Astyanax mexicanus: one gene and its partner. The protein of the gene in region 2 purifies or fractionates together with the protein of the main gene of each other region. This does not show direct contact. Links are inferred from orthologs where the notes say so. Each region holds a gene or a part of one and is shown on either strand. Other genes may lie near its edges.

Region 1 (7,087 bases), on a different chromosome or scaffold from region 2:
AACAGGAGGGTGAAGACTAACACAAGCTTCCTCCGATACACGTGAAGTCAGCCACCGCTTCTTTTCAAGCTGCTGCTGATGCAGCATTGCCGAGCAGCATCAGAGCGCACTCGGAGGAAAGCACAGCGACTCGGTTCTGATACATCAGCTCAAAGAGCCCTGTGTTGTGGACATCACCCTAGGAGTGATGTGGGGAGAGAGCGCCATCTACCCACCCGGAGGGAGCAGGGCCAATTGTGCTCCCTCTAATTGATGGTAAAGCTGCATAAAGGTGGTTTGAACCTGCGACCTCCTGCTTATAGTGGCAGCGCTTTAAACCGCTGGACCACTAGGTGCCCGCGAAAAAAATACTTTAAGAAAAATGAAGGTCAGTCAATCCTCAAGTGCAGTCACAAAGACCATCAAAAACATTATGATGGAACTGGCTCTCATCAGGACTGCCCCAGGAAAATGAGAGCAAGAGTCACCTCTTTTGTACAGGATAAGTTTATCAGAGTTACCAGCTTCAGAAACGAGCATTTTGGTTTGTTTAACACTTTTCAATTATTACATGGTTCCTTGTGTGTTCCTTCATAGTCTGGATTACTTTAGTATTCATTTATAATGTAGGAAACACTTTACTGTACCAAATATACAACCATGACAAACTGCCAACTAATTAACCAAAAACATACCTAATTGTTGAAGTCTTTCAAGAGGAACTCTGTCTGACTGGCTGTCCTCATCCAGGAGATCATCAGCAGTCCAGGGCTCCTCAGCTGAAATCACATTTTAATTAATTAATTAATTTTTTAAACAACCAGTTCAGAGTGTGAAACCTGTTTATAATGCTTATTTGTGGTTTCTGGAGCTCTTCACACACTCACCAGTGCTCGCACAGACTTCTGGAAGTGGTGTGGTGACAGGAGGTGTTGTATCTTTCACTTGCTGACAGGAATCTATATAAAACATACAGAAAAGTATTATTCATCAGAGTTAGGTTTAGGGGAACACATGTTACATGTTATATGACCAACTCTAGTAAAGCTGAACAGATCATTTACAGCAAAAATAAACATTAAACCAGAAAATTACTTACCATCAGTTTTGTGTTTCTTAAAGCAACCCAGTGAACAGCTACGATCAAAAAAAGAACACAAACGTTATTATTTGGTTTCAGAGCAGCCAATGCAGAAACAGCTTCTTCCCTCACGTCATCAGGCATCTAAACAGCGCTTAGTCCACCATCCACCTTGCACTTCACTTTAGTTACTTTTCATTTACACTGCATCCACCAACATTGGATTCTCACATATGGATTCCCACATAACCACAGATATAGTAGGCATACATGTGTACACAGTTCCTATATTTATGTCCTGTCTGTTTAAGTCAAAAGTAGACAAAAGGACTTATGGGGCACAGTTTGGGACAAGTCCTTAGCACCTTTAATTTTCTCTTATACCTGCTATTATTTATTGTCTGTATTAATAGTTGTTATTATAGATATGTATTGAGTCACATACATATATCAGCCAAAAGTTTGGACACACCTTCTTATTCAATGTTTTCTTTATTTATTTCTTTATTTAATTTATTTCCTACATTGTAGCTTAATATTAAAGACAGGAAAACAATTAATGGGCACTAGGGGTGGGCAATATTATATCGTATACAATATATCGTGACACAGAAATATCATGATATTAAAAATCCATATTGTGATAATAGGGCTGTTCTGTCTTAAAAGTAGTCTATTATTTACTGTGAAGCTTTAAGTATATTTATTGTATAATTGTTTTAGTTAGCAGTTTATCATCACTGTCCTATGAAAAACACTTATCTCCATTTTTGTTCATTTTTAGTTTACTACATAATTTGAACAGACAAACTGTCCCTTACACTGTGCCAAAATTTCTTAATGCATAGACCAATAGAAACTCTTCAAAATGACCTTAAATAAACTCTTTTTACATTGACTTCCACTGAAAGTTTACAAGGTTTTTTCTGTTTTGGAGATCAGAGTTTTTCATTGGACAGCGACAATATGCATGCACTAAATATTCTGCAATATTTTTTGCTGCATTATATTACTTTATGCTATATTATTTATTTTGCCACATTATGATTATTCTGTTATACTATTATACTATATTCCTGAAATGAATGAATTATTTTAGTTTTCCTATATCGCCAAGTATATCGTTATCGCAAAAATACCCTGAAATATCGTGATATTATTTTAGAGCCATATCGCGCACCCCTAATGGGCACATATGGAATTATGTAGTAAACAGTAAAAAAAAAAAAAAATTGTCCTCCACCTGACCAATCCCCTGATCTAAACCTGATGAACTGAGATGGTGATTTGAGGTGATTTAATTGGGATGAGCTGGAGCTTCACAGCGTTAAGGAAAAGCAGCAACTATTGTTCAGCACCTCCAGGAACTCCTTCCTTTAAGATACTGAGAAAACTTTTTCAGGTGACTCTCCCTCATGAAGACACTGAGATTAAAATACCAAGAGTGTGCAGATCTGTCCTCTAAGATGAATGAGCTACTAAGAATAATCTAAAGTATAAAACATTTTCTGGTTTATTAAACACTTTGTTTACAGAATAATTCAGCATGTGTTCCTGTATAGCTTTAAAATATACTTCAATATTAAATTTACAATGTAAAAGATTAATAAGAAGAAAGAAAACAAAACACACTGAATGAGAAAAAGAGGTGTGTCCTAACTGTTGGGCTGGTACAGTATGGGAGTGTATAACTGTGGTATACTCACTATCTGATCCTGCAGGCTGGGCATCTGTATTTAGGGAGATTTTCACTGCAGATTCCGCACAGCTGCATCACTCCACAACACGCTGCTCAACATACACACACACACACACAGTTTACACCGGAACAGCGCCATTATCATATAATATAACACTGTACATTAAATATTACACTGTTAATACAGCCATATACTCACCCACTTCTCAAATAACTTAAAAAAAGGAGGTTAAATGACTTGAAGTAACTTCAGCCTCTTAAAACACCTCTTCTCTCACTAGCAATGTGGAAACACCACTGAAAAGGGGAGGAGGCACAGCATTTCAAAATAAAAGTTTACAGAAAAAAAATATTTCAGCAAGACCTGACATAAAAGGAAACTATTTTGATATGCCCCTAAAGTCCTATCATAATTATTTAATTTAAATTAAATGTATTACTAGTAAAGACATCTAAAAAAAACCCTAAAAACTAAGAACAAATAGTGAATAGCGTTTATATATATATATATATATATATATATATATATATATATATATATATATATATATATATATATATATATATATATATATATATATAAACATTTTTCAGATTTTTGATGTTTTATCATTTTTCTTGCTTAGGATGAAAGGATGATTTAATCCTTTATTCTTTTATATTAATCAATTATATTTATTTCTTACAACATGTTATCGAATTATTTAACAAATTTTACATATGTTTTAATTTAATTTAGCAATTTATTTATTACATTAGGGACTGGCCTAAGCTTCTGTTGCCCCAGCTGAAAATTAAGTACTGATTTCGTTTCTTTTATTATATCTGTATATGCAATGTACACAGTACTAGTCAAACGTTTCTCATTTTATGTTTTTATTTATTTTTCTATAAGTTATTTTCTACCTTGTAGATTACTAGTTAAGACATCAAAACTCTGTAGCAACACATATTATGAAATTAGTTTTTTTTACTTTAATTTATTTATATTATATTTTTTGTATTGTTATAGATTTTTTTGCTTGTTCAAAATGAATTTCACTTTTTGCCAAACTTGAAATATTTAATAATGTGATGCCTAAACATTAAATTATGTATTTTATGAATATGATATTTTTAATGAATTACGCTGTTAAATATTTAAAGTTAAAAGTGAGACACATATAATTCAATTATACAATAAAACAGTGTATATGTGAGCAGTGACTTTGAAACTCAGAGACTTTTATTTTGAAAAGAGCCCTGTGATCAGCTCCGGCTTCGCACTCGGCTCCGTCCCCTGTCCTTCCCCACGTGTTTCCAGGCTATTCAGTCCTTCACTCTGCTGGAGATCAGGCCGCCATGCTGAAGTCCCTGAGCCGTGCTGTGAGCGTCGCCGCTCGGCTTTCTACCAAAGCCCCGGCCGCCAGGGCCGCGCTGGCGAGCCCGGCCCTGTGCGCTCCCAGCTCGGCCTCCACTCGGCCTTTTACCCGCTCCATCTGGATGCTGTGCAGCAGTAACGGCGCGACCTCGGGCAGCAGGCCGAAGCTTCTGAGCACGGAGCGGGGGCTGCCGGCGGTGCCCTGCGGCTGCGGGGGTCTCCACACTGAAGGTAACCTGTCTAATTTATCTGAAGGGGGATTATCCGCTTATATAACGCCGTGTGTCTGGTTTCATCAGCCGGTTAAAGAGAGACACAGAGGAGCCTGGGGCCAAGGCTGGAGAGGGAGCTGACTTATTATCTAGTTTATCTTTCTATAACTAAGATTTACTGTAATACTATGAGATATATAAATATAGTAGCTATTATATAGTCTTAATTTTGGTTTGCCTCTCATAAATTGGACTATACTTCTTATTTTTTATACTTTAATTAGATCTAACTAATGTAATATACTTGTAGTATACAGAGACAGAGCGTGACTGTAAATGTTGGTGTATGAGTTTGACAGCTACCCAAGTTAAAAGGATATTATATCTGGTTATTTGGGTTAATTCTATAAAAAAACTAAATGTAAATGAATGGTACTGAATGTGTGATTCTACTTCCGTTCATTTCTACAAGGAATGTGACCTTGATGAAAGTCAGAGCAGGGTTGAGGTTGAGTACTGTAGGTTAACTTGGATGACCATCTCCATCCAGATCAAGAACTTTTGAGTGGAGGGCATATTTAAGGATCCAGTTTAAGGTGCTTTATAAAATTAGTAACTGTAAAAAGTACAGTAAGGTAAATAATTATTTGATCCCTTGCTGATTTTATAAGTTTTCCCACTGAAAAAGACATGAACGGCCATTATTTATTTTAGTCAGAACAAAAAATTTAAGGGTAAGTTATTTTTAACAGAGAAAGAAAGAATATCAAAAATAAAATCCAGAATTATAAATATAAATTGTATAATTTTTTATTGTATTTCGTAGGGAAAAATATTGCGTATGTTATCCCCTAAAAACCATTAAGAGTTTTGGCTCCTACAGACTAGTTAGACGCTTCTAATGAACTCCTAATTACCTGCATTAAAGACATTTTAAAAGCCACAAGCTGTACAACATTTTGCTGATTTCTAAAATGAAACAACCATGCAATAATTATTGCATATTAACTATTCTTTTCCAATTATTTACACATGTACATTCATGTACATGATTTGTTACATCAAAATATTATATAATATAATAATAATATAATATAAAATTATTAAAATAAAAAGGAGCTAATGTCAATGCTTCTTGTCATTTTTAATAGATAAGCATTTTTTTATGTGTGGTGGTGATCATCCCTCTCTTCTCTTCCAGGCGATAAAGCGTTTGCAGAATTCCTCTCAGATGAAATTAAAGAGGAGAAGAAGATCCAGAAAAGTGCAACTCTTCCCAAAATGTCTGGAGGATGGGAGCTCAAACTCAACGGCACAGAGGCGAAACTCATTCGCTCCCTTTCTGGAGAGAGGTACGATTTTTATGAACAATTATTAAAATCATGATTGCATATAAAATGTCATTCAGGAGATCATGTGGTTTGAATCCAGGTCATGCATCTTGCCATCAGCTGCAGGAGCCCTGAGAGAGTTTGTCTTGCTCTCTCTGGGTGGATAGATGGCGCTCTTTCCCCTCATCACTCCAAAGGGTGATGTTGATCAGCACAAGGTGTCTGTATGTGAGCTGATGTATCAGAACCTCCTAGTGCGCTGTGATGCTACTCAGTAATGCTGCATCAGTTAGAAAAGAGGCGGAGTCTGAATTCACATGTGTCGGAGGAGGCGTGTGCTAGTCTTCACCTTTCTTGTGCTGTGGCATCACTAATGATAGGGGATATACAGCTGAGTAGCAGCTGAATGGATTGGATATTTGGACTAGCCAAATTGGGATCTTAGACTTACAGATTTATTTTTCCCTTAGGGTGACCATCACATTCAACATTAACAACAGTATCCCCCCAACCCTGGAGGAAGAGGAGGAGCCAGGGCATGGACAGAAGGCAGAGGAAAAGGAGGTAAAGCATCCTTCCATTTTTCACACTCTAAACTTATTTACAAATGGTTACCAAATTCCAATATATATATATATATATATATATATATATATATATATATATATATATATATATATATATATATATATATATGTATTGGTAATGCATGAATGTATGTTGTTTTTCTGCCATTTACACCACATTCTTGCATGGTGTTTTAGGTCTTTCCCCAGTATACATGCACAGATTACAGCACCATCATTTCTGACTTGTGCACTAAAATAAACCCCTATGATTTTTAATGCAGTTAAAACTAGAAGCCACAAACAGAAGCATGAAATTATTGCAGCTTGTTTCTGGAAGAAATTTGCTTAATAATTAGATTTTCCATTCCACCTTAAATGAAAGAATAGTCACATTCTACCACCTTAAAGTATCTTTAAGGGTAGATGAGAAAACAGTAACAGCACACAGATGCGAACCAAAATAGTGGATATATATATATATATATATATACACACACACACATACATGCACACTAAAAAAGACACTATAAGAGCATTATTTTATTATTTTGATTGTATTTTTTATTTGTGTCTTATCTTATTCATTCTTTTTTTTGGAACGTCTGTGTACTGTGTATACGTGCTGCTACTGAATGTCGAGAATTTCTCCCAGCAGCTTTTATATTAAACACGGTTCTAACAAATCTTTAATTTGATGTTTTGCTTCTTTTGTTGTTTCTTGCTTGTCTTTTAGCCTGAAATCGTCTCGACACCTAACTTTGTTGTTGAAGTCCTGAAACAGGGGGCAAAAAATGCCCTGGTGTTCGACTGCCATTTCCCAGAAGATGAGGTAAGACCTCTTAACTCCTGAACACTC
Region 2 (7,874 bases):
CCCCCCCACCTAGATTAATCATTACACACTTTACAGCTCCACAGGAATTTACATCAGACTGGAATATGACAAACAACACAGTCTTTTACACACACCTGGCCACTTTATCAGAAACACCCCACCTTGTGCTTTCTCTCTCTGAGCACTTTATTTTATTATTACAAACATCTTTGATTCCAATCACTGGCCAGTGGTTTCAGCAAGGTATAGAAAGTAAAAGTAAAGAAGGTGAAGATAAATATAAGAAGAAGGTAATATAAATATTTCAGTTTAACTTTTAACTCAGTGTGACTCAATTCTTACTCAGCGTAACTCTGTTTAGCTTGGTTTAACTCATTTTAATTTAGATTCACTTCACTCTTCTGAAAGTTGAATTCTGATCAACTTGGTTTAAATAAATAGGTTTAACTCGGTCTAACAGTGTGAAACAGACTAAACACACACAACTAGACAAAATATACAGGCGAGAGAACTCTCTGGGATCTTCTGGGTTCAGTTCTGGTTGCTAGGCAACTGACAGACTTATAGTGTGTGTGAGACGAGGCAGCAACACACAGGCACACACACACACGCAGTTTTTATCTCCTGAGCTCCTCCTGAAGCCTGAGCTCCTCCACACCCATGATTTCTTCAATCCTAAGCTGTTCCTGAACACTGAGCTCCTCCTCAATGCTGAGACCCTGGTTAACCCTGAGCACCTCCTCAACCCTGAGCATCTCCTCAACCCTGAGCACCTCCTTAACCCTGAGCATCTCCTCAACCCTGAGCATCTCCTTAACCCTGAGCTCTTACTCTGCCATGAGCATCTCCTCAAACCTCAGCAACTCCTCAACCCTGAGTTTCTCATTTCCAAGCTCCTCACTCCTAAGCTCCTTCTTTCTCATCCCTGATCTCCTCTTTAACGCTAAGCACTTCATTTTTCAGTTTTCAACCCTGAGCTCTTCCCTCCTGAGCTCCTTTACCCTGATCTCCTCCTCATCCCTGAGCTTCTCAACCCTGAGGTTCACTTCAACACTGAGCTCTTATTCAATCCTGATCTCCCCTTTAATATTGAGTTCCAAATCCTGAGCTCCAACTGAGGCCTGGGCTCCTAAACTATAAGCTCCTTAATGAGCTCCTAACCCCTTTGCTCCTCCACACCACTGAGTTTTTCAAACATGAGTTCCTCAACCATTATCTCCTCATTCTTGAACTGCTCCTCAACCCTGAACTCCTACTCAACCCTTATCTCTGCACTTCTCTTTTAGCCCTCAGCTCCCAAACCCAGTTCCTCTTCCAACGCCATATTTCAGTGATGTCTCTCCACTTTACAAACAAAACAAGCAGATACACTAATTAACTCACCTCTCTACTACATCCATGAAGAAGTCTATGCTGCAACACTTCTTTAACTTAAAATGGGTGGAGCTGAAACAGTAATTCTTTTAGGTCGTTAAATAACGTATTTCTTATTTTATTTAAACATGTTCTTAATTATTTAGGCATTTGACCTCAGTGGCATCACAACATTCACACTGTTTATTTTCAAGGTACTGAAATCACTTGCTGCTGCATGTTCAGCAATTAATAAGATTTATTTCACTTAATAACTCTCATATTGTCTCCCTACATATCATGGTAATTTTTATAAACTATTTTTGAGATCAAAATTATCTTTAAAACAAAACAAGGTCACTATGAACAGTTTAACAGCTCGGTTTCAGCTCTAGCAATTTTAACTAAAATCGTCTATCCCGCAGTTTGTCATAACAGGGTGGACGCCTCCATGACAGGAAATAAAAAGTAAAAAATTATAGTGATTAGATATGTATGGCATTGCCCTATTAAATAACACACCCCTGTGAAATTTCTCCATGACAGGCTCCCCCACATGACCAGTGATGGAGTTAGGTAACAATCTGTCTTAATGACTAACTTCAGGAAAAGTTGCTCAGATCATTACAGGAGAGCTCTGAAGGTGTAAATAAATAAATTAACAGTTAAGCCTCTGAACTGGAAGGAGACAGACCTGGCAACCGGTTCTGTTTCATTAGGCAGGCACTGGGCCTAAGGCTGAGTAAAGCAAGCAGAGAGAGCTGGAGCTTAAATGAAGTGTTTCTCAAGAAGATAAGAGGAGATAAGTTCAGCTTTTAAAAGGGAAGGGAGGAAGAAAAGATAACAGAGTTAGCAGGCTAGCTGTAGAGTTCAGAAAAGAAGTGTTCAGTTTATCCAGTAAACTACAGATGAGCTTATTTAACTGGTTCAAATAAATATTACAACCTGTCTATTTTAATCTACAGTCAGTAATTAACACTATTACGTTATATTAAATTTAGCTAAAAAAAAAAAGTTGAAAACTTTTTTTTTTTGGAACTCCCCGTTCCACCTTAAATAGTGCATCAGTTTACGTTCAGACGCTTCGGGGGTTATAGTGTTATGCTGCACCATTTAAGGTGGACTGGAGAGTTAGAAATAAAAAGCAAACTTAAGCTTTTTAAACAAGTTAAAAGTAAACATACCCTCCGTAATGAGCCTTTATCTTCACATATTCCTCATGTATTTCCATCATGGAGCCGTTTCTGACCGGCATGTTCGCCGTCTTCTTCCCGGTGCTGCTAAAGGAGTCTCCGCCAACTATCCGCGCTAACCTGCCGGGGCTCCTAGGGGCAGTTGGCCGGGCTGTGAGGCTCCAAGTCCGGCTACAGCTCCCACAGCGCCCCGCTGACCCCACTGCTGGACCCGGGGCTGCCTACAAACACACACACTCCCATACACACACACACTCACACACACCCATACACACACCTGTTGGGTTTATTGTGCTGGTAGTGCGCGTGCACGCGCTTCCCATGACCGACCTGCGCGCTCCGGGTACGGACACTCACCCTCCCTAAACAGAGCAACGGGATTACTTACACACTCACACACACCCCTCACACACTTCCAGTCTCACAGTGGCTAACACTGTGATAATCCACTTACCTTCAATTAACTTAAAAATCCTGCTAGTGATGTATAAATAAAGTCACTGGTCAGTGAGAGTGTCTACCTGTAATTAACTCTATATAACATTATAATAAACCCAAATAAACATCAAGTCAGTGGTCAGTGAGTGTCTACCTGTAATTATTTTTATATAACATATAAAACAATAAAACAATAACAATAAACCCAAACAAGAATAAATTAAGTGATCAGTAAGAGTATCTACCTGTACCTAACTCTATATAACATTATGATACTAAACGCAAATAAACATAAAGTCAGTGGTCAGTTAGAGTGTCTTCCTGTAATTAACTTTATATAACACTAGAATACTGAACCCAAATAAACATAAAGTCAGTGACCAGTGAGAGTGTCTACTTGTAATTAACTCTACATAACATTATAACACTAAACCCAAATAAACATAAAGTCAGTGACCAGTGAGTGTCTACCTGTAATAACCTCTAGATAACATTAGAATACTATATCCAAATAAACATAAAGTAAGAAAAGTGTAAATGCACTTTACAATTACAGTGGAGTATTTATGAGTGTATATTCTGTATTTACGTAAAAGTTTCTGAGCCTAAGTCAGAACATTCTGGGATTGGGTCGGAGAAAGTTCAATATATGTTATGTGTCCAAGTTCCACCACATTATACTAGAATTATTTATTTTGTTTGTTTACTTTTTATTAGTAAAAAAAATTATAATAAGGCAAAGAACCAGTCAGACGTTGAAATAGTTGTTTTAGTTGTCATTAATCCATGTAGAACCACAGCCTTCACTAATAAACCTAACTTTTTGGTGTAGGGTCTAACAGACATAACAATATAAATATGGAGGATAAAAATTATTATTATTATTATTATTATTATTATTATTATTGTGGCATTTTCTTTAGTTATTTGTAATCCAATTATTTTTGTTTCATACGCATTTACCTGCTTTACTGACTGAAAGCTGAAAGGCTGGTGTTTTGGCGCCACCTGCAGGCTGAGTAAGATTCAGCAGCCCTTTCAAAACAGAAGGTGTGTGTTAGGATTAATATATTTTACAGTAAAAACTTTTAAAGCTTAAAAAGCAAAACAAATACAGAGTAGACTGCTTTCAAAACAAAATACAGCTGATATCACAGTATAACTGAATCATGATATATTGCAATATGGCACACTTTACCCTACTGGTCGTTTTAAAAAGGTTTTGGAAAGGTTATTATGTAACATGTGACATTAAAATGTCAAAAAAAAATTGTATCGCAACATAATTATAACGTTTCTCACATTTCTAGACAATTATTAACATTATGAAAACGTTTTTTTATGCAAGTACTAAAAATTCAGCTGTGACTGAATTAGTTTGTTGTTACATTATTTATGTTTTTTTTTTTCATTTTGTTACACTATTTTAGTATTTTTTTTTTAAATATAAAATAAAATGTTAAGGTAAAGTTAGTATTAATGTTTTTGCTTCAAATGTATAAAACTCTAAAATTCTCTTAATATTTTTTTCCCAGTAATATATTCTTAAAATTAATTAGTATAATGTAAGTAAAAAATTAGTATTAATTAGTAAATTAGTAAAAATCATATCGCCAAAAATATTTTTATAGCAAAAATACCCTAAAATATCGTGGAAGTATTTTAGGAACACAATGCCCACACACACACACACACACACACACACACACACACACACACACAGGTGTGGATTAGAGGGAGAGTACAGCTTTAAGACTGAGGCGCTTTTTTTAGAGCTTTTCCCTCAGATTAGTTTTGCTAGCCGCTAAACCTGCCTGTGAGAATATTTAACTACACCTGTAATCAGGTTTAATATCGATTATATCTGATATCCCCGAGCTGCTGGAGGCTGTGCGGGACGGATAGTTTGTGTTGTGGGATAATAATCGATATTTTCGCTGTTTGAGTTTTTGTTTTACCTCAGAGCTGAGGTAAAGTTAGCACACAGGCTAGCTAGGTTAGCTTAGCTTAAGCTTTCACTGCATCTCTTCAGAGCAGCAGAGCTTAGCATGCTGGCTAGCTAACCTAGCTAGCTAATATGCCGCAGCTCGGGAAGGTCGGAGATGTTGTATTATTAGAGAAGATCGGGGCGAGGTTCGGGTCCGGGCTGGAGGTTTGGACCGGTCAGTTCTGCGGTCCTGTGGGTTTCACACCTTAAACCCGCTAATTTATGGATCAGAGATGGAGATGATTGTGCTGCTCACAGCTCTGCTGGGTCAGTAGCGTTAACTCAGCCTGCTCTCCTTCATCAAATTCGATCATTTAACACTGCTCCTGTTTTTATCTCAGACTCAGAGATCTTCTGTTTTATAGGAGATTTCTCAGCTCTAAATATCTTTAAAACTTTGTGTGGTAATACAGGTTATTGGTCAGTGTAAAATTTATCAGTTTAATTTTCATACCATTTCAGGCTAAAATTTTCATTAACAATTGGTATAAAACTTCATTATTTAATTTTTTAGAAGAAACTGATCTGGTTTTCCTATCTTTAGTTTTTCATTTCTGCGTTTCGCTAACATAACTTACTTATTTACTTATCTTTTTCATTTTTACCATATAGTGTAGTATAGAAGAAGTTTATATATATATATATAACTTTAGAATTTCAGGGAAAATAAAAAATCTTTCTTAATTTTTAGATTTTTACATTTTGTAACAAAAGTAAGTTCCTTTATACTATCAGATTACTGTTACAAGATACACAAATTGAAAAATCATTAAAAATAATTTAGATCACTTTTTTTTATTTTGTTAGTGAAAGGGAGAAATGAAAAACTAAAGACTGAAAAACAGATCAGTATCTTTCTCACCAAAGTAAATGGAACAAAAATGAAACAATGAAGTTTTATACCCAATTGTATGATAAAAACCCCCCAGTGTGCTGGAGAAACTATGGAAATCTAAATGCTATCCATTACCATATATTTTTTGGCACTGCCCCAGTATTAAATTACTGGAAGAGGATACACAAAGCCTTGCAAGAGATCTTTCAATTTGAAATAGATACTGTCAGTTCTAAATTGTTAATCTCTTGTTGCTTTTCTTAATTTTTTGGGGGTAAAAATAAAATAAAATAAGGCAATGAGATCTTTGAAAGTGCACAGTTGGTTTATTAATACAACACTGTTTTTATACACACCGTACCTTCTGGTAGTTCTTTGTACACTGTCATCTAATGCATGAATTTCTGGTGTTGCTAAAAATATCTATGTAATGTTCATGATATTCTTGGAGATTAATAAGTATATTATTAATTTGAAGAATATACTAGTCCAATATTTATTTTGATGCATAACAGTTTGTATCTTCTTTTTTCTTTTTGAACAGTCGGACAAGTCTCTGTCTGGAACGTTCTGGGGTTCGGTAAGTTGATCACTGTACACAACCAACACAACAGCACTAATAGAGGACAGGTCAGAGATATGAAACCAAATGCTGTTCCAGTTTCCCTTTCCATCACTGTTCTCCAGTAGATTCTTTGTGTAGTGAACATGTGATGCAGAACCTGCCTGCTCTCCTACAGCAGTTCTGTTGCAGCTATACAGAAAAGATCAGGTGCTTTGTAGTAAAACATGAAAATAGTCCACCTCCACTCTCCCACAGCTTTCTGAGATCCAGTAATTTTGTGCAGTTTCTCCAAACATATTTTGCCCCTGCAGATAAATCACTTTTTACACCGTTATTCAGGCTCAAAGTAGCTCCACACCTTATTGTTAGAATCCGGAGAGCTCTGACATTTTAAAGGAGGCATTAATAACTTTGAAAGTGCGCAAGAAGCTTATTAAAACCACTGTGCACAACCCATAGCATAACCTAACCTAAAAATATGCCCCATATCATCCATTCTAAAGCATGTTTGGAGAAACCGTACAAAATTACTGGATCGCTGAAAGGTGTAGGAGAGCGGAGGTGTGCTATTCAACAGAGGTTAGTACTCTTTATCATGTTTTACTACACCCAAAGTCAATTTTACACCAGAGTTCTTTCCACTTCAAACTCTAGAATTAGTGTAATCTGTTATTAGTGTGATCTTCAATGCTGGATTGTGTAGTAACCTCTCTCTGTCTCTTTCTCCCTCTCTCGCGCTCTCTCTCTCTCTATCTCTGTCTCTGTCTCTAGATGAGTTGCGGGTGAGGCTGGGCAGTGTGGAGGGGTCCCGCTGCTCTGGCCGTGTGGAGGTGTTTATAGGTGAGCGGTGGGGCACAGTGTGTTCTCAGGGGTGGGATCTGCGGGATGCAGCAGTGGTGTGCAGAGAGCTGGACTGTGGCTTCGCCTTCACCACACGGCCGGGGGCACACTACAGCCGATCCATCGGGGAGGTGTGGTGGAGGAACGTCGGGTGCTCAGGGGACGAGTTCACACTGGACCTGTGCGAGCGCACCACCAACGATGGAGTGTGTTTACACAACGAAGATGCAGGAGTGGAGTGCACAGGTGAGAGACAAGCAATAGATGCTTATATCCCACTAATTAGTGCTGAATCTATGATCCAATTAGCACTGGAGCTATGAGGCTTATGTTGCTAGAAAGGAAAGGAAGCTTATATCCCAACAATTAGCACTGGAGTTCTGAAGATATAAAGATAATATACAGTATGAAAGACTCACTTTGTTAACAGTCTTAACAGGACTGAACTCTAATCAGTGACCTTACATTTTATTCTGCAGATAAACTTCCTGCGCCCACCCTGACCATGCAGTCCCCCTTCTCTGCGTATTCAGCTGGAGAGGCTGTCCTCTTCACCTGCACTGCCCCCTACTGGCGGCACCCTATTGATTTCTACCTGTATAAGAGTGGTGTGGACACTCCTCTGGTGACGCAGCGGGCAGATTTCAGACAGACGCGAGTGGAGCTGACCCTGTCTGACCTGGAAACCTCTCACCAGGGCAG

What was found. The genes of interacting proteins can lie anywhere in the genome.
Region 1: the proteins of prkcz (region 2) and complement component 1 Q subcomponent-binding protein, mitochondrial purify together in Homo sapiens (affinity purification with mass spectrometry; 5 studies listed by BioGRID and IntAct, with this or other methods). This does not show direct contact. The link is inferred for Astyanax mexicanus from reciprocal best matches to the Homo sapiens genes PRKCZ and C1QBP.

Annotation. Positions count from the first base shown.
Region 1 is NC_064408.1:12,096,464-12,103,550, forward strand, and holds the start of complement component 1 Q subcomponent-binding protein, mitochondrial, read left to right. Parts: upstream 1-4,030; 5' UTR 4,031-4,100; coding exon 4,101-4,350; intron 4,351-5,532; coding exon 5,533-5,683; intron 5,684-6,132; coding exon 6,133-6,226; intron 6,227-6,964; coding exon 6,965-7,060; intron 7,061-7,087. Other genes in the region: znhit3 (zinc finger HIT domain-containing protein 3), read right to left, coding at 675-758, 867-938, 1,079-1,116, 2,767-2,834.
Region 2 is NC_064419.1:7,968,887-7,976,760, reverse strand, and holds the start of prkcz (protein kinase C zeta type), read right to left. Parts: upstream 3,016-7,874; 5' UTR 2,570-3,015; coding exon 2,499-2,569; intron 1-2,498. Other genes in the region: uncharacterized protein si:ch211-150o23.3, read left to right, coding at 5,166-5,199, 6,312-6,347, 7,104-7,418, 7,652-7,874. UniProt on the Homo sapiens protein: Calcium- and diacylglycerol-independent serine/threonine-protein kinase that functions in phosphatidylinositol 3-kinase (PI3K) pathway and mitogen-activated protein (MAP) kinase cascade, and is involved in NF-kappa-B activation, mitogenic signaling, cell proliferation, cell polarity, inflammatory response and maintenance of long-term potentiation (LTP).